2 linked regions of the Coturnix japonica genome follow. The protein of the gene in region 1 interacts with the protein of each later gene in a pairwise test. Links are inferred from orthologs where the notes say so. Each region holds a gene or a part of one and is shown on either strand. Other genes may lie near its edges. The genes, in order: PSMC3 and PSMD9.

Region 1 (3,137 bases):
CTGGGCAGCACACGCTCGAGCTAGAAGCGTCTTCCCTGTTCCTGGAGGCCCATACATAAGGACTCCTTTGGGAGGCTGTATACCCAAGTTCTCAAATTTTTCCTTATGATTCATGGGCAGGACGATGGCCTCCACAAGCTACAGCAAAAGAAAAATGTTCACTCAAAACCAAACTTCACAAACCCAGGCTGCCCCGTTTAGGAAGTTCAAAGCCTGCTGTCCTCATTCACACTGGTATCACCTCTTGGATTTGTTTATCGAGCCCTCCAATGTCGCTGTACTGCTCTGTGGGTCTCTCATCCACTTCCATGGCTTTCACCCGTGAATCATATTCAGTAGGCAGAGTCTCCAAGATCAAGTAAGAGTCCTTGTTCACACCCTACAACACACGAGTTCTTTGCTTTTACCAGGCCCTTCAGATAGCAATCAAAGCACACATAATCAGAGGTGATCCACTAGACCTCCAGGATGCAGGTTTGACCAGCTCCAATACTAGCATTCATCAGATCACAACAGCTTGGCAAGGGGGACAACACAACAACTGGTCTGGCATATTTTAGAAGGAAGAGGCCCAATAAAACAGGTAGACAGCTAAATTCTGGGCACTTAACTGTCTGTAGAAATAGGCTCTCCAACATGACTTTTCTATACTACAAATATTATTGCAGCCAGTTATTCTAAATCCAAATTTTAGTACAAAAGCGATCTCAGCAAGACCTGAACCGATGGTGTCCCTTCTAAAGGAAAAGGCACGTGCAATTTTCTGGCCAACATCACAGCTAACAGTCACAACAACAACACTCACCACCAGATCTCCAGGCTTCAACTTCTCAGCATCAACCAACCCGATAACAGGCAGGAAGTATGTCTACAAGACAGGCATTACAGTAAGCAAAGCCATCTGTACTGGGACAAGGAACTTTACAGCACTCATAGAATCAAAGAACCTGTGAACCTGTGCTGGCTGTAACCAATGACTGCATTGTCTTTCAAGTATTCCTCAGTAATTTCCAGAATAAAATCCATGATTTTACCAGGCAGTGGCAGGCCTGTCAATACCAAGCCCTTCTTTGTCGCCCTTCCTGAGAATTAGGACAATACTTGGCAGCTTCTAGACAACTGGGACCTCTCCAGATTCCCAGCATCACTGAAAAAATACTCCTGAAGGTCTCACAATGACATCAGCCAGCTCTTTGAGTACCCTGGGATGAATCCCATTGGGCCCCATAGACTTATATGCATCCAGCTGGAGCAGCAAATCCCAAAGTTCAGAGCTGCCTGGGAGCTGACCGTTCCCTTTAGTCACTGTCCCCCACCTCAGGGCTCTGGAGGCCCCAGTGCCCATCATAAGTGTTAAAGACAGAGGCAAAGATGGCATTAAACATCTCTGCTTTATCTACATCCCTATTTGTGAGGTGACCAACCTCACCAAGTAACAGACCAGTGTAACTTCTGGCTGCTCCTCACACCTAACTGGACACGTGGCCCTTACCTGCCGTGTAGAGGTCTTGATGACAGCACACTTGCCCTTTCTCTGGGAATCCAGGTCAATATTCGCTCCATCCTCCTCCTGGTCATTGGGGTCAACATCCAATAGCTGAAAACCAGAGTAAAAAATCTTCCCTATAATGTAACCAGACTAATGGTTTCTAAGTTACATGGAGTATGCAAAATGGAAACAGGAATTTTTATTTGCAGTAGAATCTTGAAAGCACTGAAGTACCTTATAAATATTTATCATTTCCTTTCCTCACGCAGCAGCACAGAAAAAGACACTATACAGCCCAGAACAAAGCAGCAGCTAAAGGCACCGATTGCTTTTCTCCTTACAGCAACTTACATTAAGATCTAAAACACTGATACCAACCAATCCTTGTTTTCCAAAGTTGAGAACTGCCTATGCTTTAAAAAAATAAAATAAAATCAGATAAATAGATTGATTCACAAAAACGACACCGTGTTACATCTGCACTTTCAGAAGATTTGCAAAGTTATCTCAGCTGACCTCTTAAAACAACCAGTGCAGGCAGGGACAAGAAGATGCTGTGAATAAAATCACAGAATGATAAAGGTTGGAGAAGACAGTAAGACCACCAAGTCCAACCGTCAGCCCGTCCTTACCATGTCCAGGAACAACATCCACACACTTGTTGAAAACCACCATGGATGGAGGCAGCCCATCTGGGTGCCTCACCATTCCTTCTGATAAGAAATTCTTCCTAACATCTAACCTGAACCTCCCCCGGCACAACTTGAGGCCGTTACCTCTTATCCTAAAATACCAGTGCAGTTAAGGGACAGAAGCTGCAACATGGCTGGCAAGTCCCTGAGTGTGCAGGGACTGCCACCTGATGTGTATTAGTTATGAAGAAAACCACCTGAAAATTTGTTAATTCCAGTCCATTCTCTTCTTTCTTTCTTTCTGTATAACTCTTAAAAATCTTTTTGATTAGTGTTTCTTAACTCCTGCTGTTTTAACTGCAGAACTCATCTTCTTGCAAAGCTGGCAATAGAGTACAGATTTACAAGTAGCAGACCCACTGCTTTCAATCACCCTGCTATATTTCATTTACTCAGGTCTACACTAAGTGGGGCTGTGTCACCTCCACTAGCTGTGTTACGTACAGAAGCCCAGTAGCTAATACCTCCCCAAGAAATGACCCAGACGTGAAGCAGGCAAGTGATATACAATGCCAGGTCATAAATAAAACCAGCAGAAAAACCCAGAAGTGACTTGACTTCAGGATCAGAAATAGTCTGTCAAACACCGTGTCTCCAATTACCAATGGGCTTCCTATCACTTTTCCTCCCTGACACAAATGTACACTTCTCTCTTTGCTCCAGAAAAGCACTCACCTCAATAACATTTGAGACCAGGTACGGCAGAGTTTTGTTCACTTTGATCTTCTCGCTGTTCTCTTTGATCTTATCTTTCATGGCCTGAAGCTCGTGGGTCACTCTCAGCACTTCGCTCTTCATGATCTGGAATCAGTATGCAGAAGAAAGAGGTAGAAATCACAACAGCATGGAAACATACAATGTATGTTATTCTGGGAGTACAATAATTGTAAAAATGTAAGGCAGGGGAGACAATGGAGCTAAAGAGTAATATAAAAATAGAAACAGTCATCAAATTA
Region 2 (4,529 bases), on another chromosome or scaffold:
CTTACAACTACAACCTGCTTTGCTTCACCAGACCAATTTCTGGCTGTGGAAGGTCAGGGAAGAATGATTTCATGTCTCTGCAGATCTACTTTTAACCTACCTGCAATTACAGCCCCCAAACAGCAACTTCCACAAGAAGGGAGAGAGACACCACTCAGCTTTATTCATCGGGATGAATACTTCAAAGTTCAACTGGAAACAACCTTACAAACAGGAACAATCCCCCCAATTAACAATTAACATAATAAAATAATTAGGTACTCCAAAATTGCTCTCTTATTTGGTGATTTCCAGCAGCTATGAACACATGAGAGTTAAAGTAACAGATCTGTGTGTTTCTTGAGTGTGTTCTACTAAGTTAAAGAAGGAAAAATTGTTCCAGGTCTTTGTATCCTGCTTTACAGGATGTTCAAATGAGGAATTTCAAGGAAAAAATGAAGGAATGCCACGTTGTCACCAAGTAAAAGCACTTTATGTTCTTCCCAATCTGTATCAAGTGAAATCCAAGTTACACTGCAGCCTTACTCCAAACTGACGCAAGGCACAAAGAGATGAGAAGCCACTTCCTGCAACTCTGTGAGTTGCTCCTCACAAACCAGCGCAATTCCAACTGCATTAAGGTCCTGCTCCATCAGAACCTCTTCAGACCCTGCAAGCTCAGCCACCCAGAGGTCACAGCCCCTGAAACACCCATTTCAGCAAAAACAAAGGTCACAGGGCAAGCTTTCAAATCAAATCAGAGTCCAGAAAGCAGGCACAAGCTTCATCTTTATTGTCTTCCCAGCAGTGGTCATCTTTGCAATGGAGTGATATTGCAGCTGAAAAAGAAGAGTGGGGAAGAAAACATTTAAATCTATGTTCCGAAAGAAGCTTAGATGATCCAACACAGCACAAATCAGATCAACCACAACCCTCCTCCATTGGTTTCCTCTACTATAGGAAGGAGCCACTGAGATCTTCAGCCCCATACCCATGACTGATACAACTCATCACCCCGTATAGTACCAAATTGACAACCCCAGCTCTCAGCTGGACTCTGCCTGTGAGACACATCAGAGCAGCACAGAGCGAAGCAGAGCTGGTTCCTCCTGCAGGAGACGTGCCCTGAGCTGATAAGAGCCCCCTCCACTCCGACTGGCAGCCTACCCCAGCAGGCCCTTCCCAGCCCAGCGCTTCGGAGTCAGCCCCAGGTGCACTTGCTTGCCATTGCGGATCACAGTCACACTCAGAGGTCTCTGGGAGAAGCAAAAAAAGAAGATGAGCTCTCTCATTTCCATTATGAAGAGCCCAATGGCTGTGGTAGCTTCTCTGGCCGTTCCACAGCAAATGCTGTAACTCATTGGGAGAGATAAGAGAACGCAGTTACAGCAGAACCAAACTTACCCCTTCACTATGCTGTACTACTGTGGCGATGTTCTGCAGGCTCTTGAAGTTGTTTGCATTGACAGAACCAAACTCCACAATCTCATCATCAACCTGCAGACCCTGGGCAGACAGAAAGAAGCTGAACGTCTGTGTTCTGTGATGACAGGTAACACTGCCTGCTCACAGGAGCTTTCATCCAGCCGCACAAGCTGTGCTAGGACACCACCCTTCTCACCATTCAGACAACTGAACATCATACCATGCCCTTAGAAACAAGGGCACACTCATTTTTCTGCTCTGTTTTATGAGAAAACAATGAGGCTGCAATGAACAGATAAGCCTTGTAAGAGCTGCGTGGTGCTACGATGCAGCAGACAACATGCAATTTCTGATCCCAACACAGGGACAAACCAGCTCACAGGGACAAACCAGTGACACGGCCACAAACGGGCAGCTCCCTCCATGGGAACATTCAAGAATAACTGCACTGGTTGAGAAGGTGAATGAATATTTGACAAACACAGAATGAAGAAAGTGTGAGTGGGATAATAACAATAATCAGTATCTCACAGCTTATACCTGCCTGTTAGCAGAGGAAAATAAGCAACACATCCCCTATTTCCCCTTCTTAAGCACAAAAGAAGCCATCCCCATCCACTGGCAGCCCCAGCAACGTACCGCGATGCTGGCGGGTGACTCTGGTGTCACCACGTTGACTTTGGCAAAGGCAGTTGGCAGATTTTGGCTCATGGCCTCAGCTCGCGCCTCCGCCTCATCCCTGGCGTGTTTCTCCTTCTCGCGGGCGTGCAGCTGGTGCAGAGCCTCCTCCACCTGCTTCATCAGCGCCTTGTGGTCGTTCTGCAGACCTGCGGGTGGCACCCAGCTCAGTAAGAAGCAGAATCACAGCATCGCTATGGCTTAAAGGCCCAACACAGCCCACAACCCACCCCACGTCCCTCAGTACATCCCACAGCTCCTGAACGCCCCCAAACCTCCCTGAGCAGCCGCCCCCTCTCGTCCTATCGCTGTTACCCGGAGCAGAGGCCGACCCCACCCTCCGCACCATCCCTTAGGGGCTGCAGGCAGCGCTAAGTCCATCCCGAGCCCCTTTTCTCATCCTGAGGAGTCCCCCACGCCGCTCCCGTCCCGTCCCCACTCACACGCGATGTTGTGCCGGGCTGTTCGCACTTGGTACAGGTCGATGTCGGCCCTGGGGAATCCCTCGCTGTCCACCAGCGGCCCGTCCATGCCCACGCCCTTTTGCTGAGGGGAGAAAGGCCGCGGTGAGACCCTCGGCAGCGCCCCGAGCCCCGAGCCCGGCCCCGAGCCCCGCTCACATCGTCCAGCAGCTGGTAACACGCCCGGATCTGCGCCTCCAGCTCGTCCTTGCGCCGCACCAGCTGCTGCACCTCGCTCAGAGTCATGGAGCCGCAACCACCGCGATCCGACATGGCGGCGGCAGGAAGAGACGCAGCGGGGGGAGAGAACATGGGGCGGGGACAGAGAGCAAAGGGGGCGGGGGCAGAACGGGGGGCGGGGATGGGGGGGGGGTGTCCATGTGGGGGGTGATGGAGGTGATTGAGGTGATGCCCCCATGGCCGGGCAGTGCCCCCGGGGCGGGCAGTGTGGGAGGAGGAGCCGCTGTGCTCTATATCAGCCCCGCTGTGCTCTATATCAGCCCCGCTGTGCTCTATATCAATCAGCCCCGCTCAGGGTCGCGTTCTGTGCTGCTGTCACTGCGGGTCACATCATGGTGAGCGGGCACAGGACGGAGCGTTTATGGGGGACACGCTTCCCCCGGCCCCGCTGAGCGCTCAGTGCCCGCTCACTCACCGCCTGTCCCGCTTCTCTTGCAGACGACGTACACGGACAAAGGGGAAAAGGTGAGTGGTTCCCTGCTGGGGGACACCCCGTCCTGTGCCCCATGGCTGCCCCATGGCTGCCCTGCAGTGCTCTCAGTGTGGCGGTGGAGCAGCGCTGGGTGCTTTGCTGCCGGGTGAATCGTTAACGCTGCGGGTTAGTGAGGACAGGCTGCAGGTTTGGGTTGCAGCTGCCATCTCCTCCTCTGTGACCCAAACCCTAAACCCCAAACCCCAAACCTCCTACTGCGTGTTTCTATAGGACCAGATGCCCCTGGGCTCACTTCCAGGCTGACAACTGGGTGTTTTGCAGCCACTTTGCTCCATGTGACCGGAGCCAACGCTGTGTGCAGAACAGCCTGCATGCAAAACACTCCAAAACATCATCATGGCGGGGGGCCATGGTGACATCCATGTCACTGGGTGCACCTGCAGGAATTGCATTGGGAAGAGTTCCATCTGGAGGGACTGTACAACTTCTTTTCCCTTTCCCTTTAGCACCAGCGAGGCCGCTTCATCCACTTCCACTCCATCACCTTCTGGGTGGGCAATGCCAAGCAGGTAGGGGGCCGCAGGGCTGGCGGCGGTGGCCATTGGCTGCCAGGGGATGGTGGGGCCATGTATGTGTGTGTGTGTGCTGACAGCAGCCCTGGCCAGGGGCCACGGCCTTGGGCCCTTGCGCAAGGTGGGGGGTGGATGCAGGGGGTGCACACAGGGCAAAAATGCAAAGGAAAAGCAAAAACGCGTCACCGCACACAGAACGGGCTGTACGGCTGTGCTGGGAGCACACAATGGCCCCGCACACACCGCACAGCCATGCACACACCGTGCTGTGCTGCAGGCTGCCTCCTACTACTGCAACAAGCTGGGCTTCGAGGAGCTGGCGTACCGCGGGCTGGAGACCGGCAGCAGGGAGGTGGTGTCACACGTCATCAAGCAGGACAAGGTGTGCAGTGTGTTGGGATGCACTGAGCAGAGCTGGTGGGATCCTCCCTCCCATCACTAACTCTTCCTTCCTCCCATCCTCTTCCACCCCAGATCATTTTCGTCCTCTCGTCGCCGCTCAATCCAGGCAATGAGGGTAGGTCTGGGGCTGGGGCTATGGGCGCTGTGCAGTGTCCCCATACTGACGTTGGCTGTCGGTAGAGATGGGTGAGCACATGGTGAAGCACGGGGATGGTGTGAAGGACGTGGCCTTCGAGGTGGAGGACTGTGACTTCATCGTGCAGGTAGGCAGCACACGTGAGGTGCAGCGGGTGCCCTGAAATGGTGAGTCTGGGGCTGCTGGGTGTCGTGGCCGCACGT

The links.
Region 2: the proteins of PSMC3 (region 1) and PSMD9 interact in binary tests that used the Homo sapiens proteins (3 or more experiments, as listed by UniProt). The link is inferred for Coturnix japonica from reciprocal best matches to the Homo sapiens genes PSMC3 and PSMD9.

What each region holds. Positions count from the first base shown.
Region 1 is NC_029520.1:20,410,909-20,414,045, reverse strand, and holds part of PSMC3 (26S proteasome regulatory subunit 6A), read right to left. Parts: intron 2,983-3,137; coding exon 2,857-2,982; intron 1,598-2,856; coding exon 1,493-1,597; intron 869-1,492; coding exon 806-868; intron 380-805; coding exon 242-379; intron 139-241; coding exon 1-138.
Region 2 is NC_029530.1:4,891,249-4,895,777, reverse strand, and holds PSMD9 (26S proteasome non-ATPase regulatory subunit 9), read right to left. Parts: upstream 2,858-4,529; 5' UTR 2,856-2,857; coding exon 2,703-2,855; intron 2,629-2,702; coding exon 2,526-2,628; intron 2,232-2,525; coding exon 2,044-2,231; intron 1,486-2,043; coding exon 1,384-1,485; intron 1,236-1,383; coding exon 1,147-1,235; intron 819-1,146; coding exon 791-818; coding exon of another isoform or gene 732-790; 3' UTR 141-731; downstream 1-140. Other genes in the region: HPD (4-hydroxyphenylpyruvate dioxygenase), read left to right, coding at 3,116-3,118, 3,222-3,248, 3,723-3,785, 4,066-4,170, 4,263-4,305, 4,371-4,453. UniProt on the Homo sapiens protein: Acts as a chaperone during the assembly of the 26S proteasome, specifically of the base subcomplex of the PA700/19S regulatory complex (RC).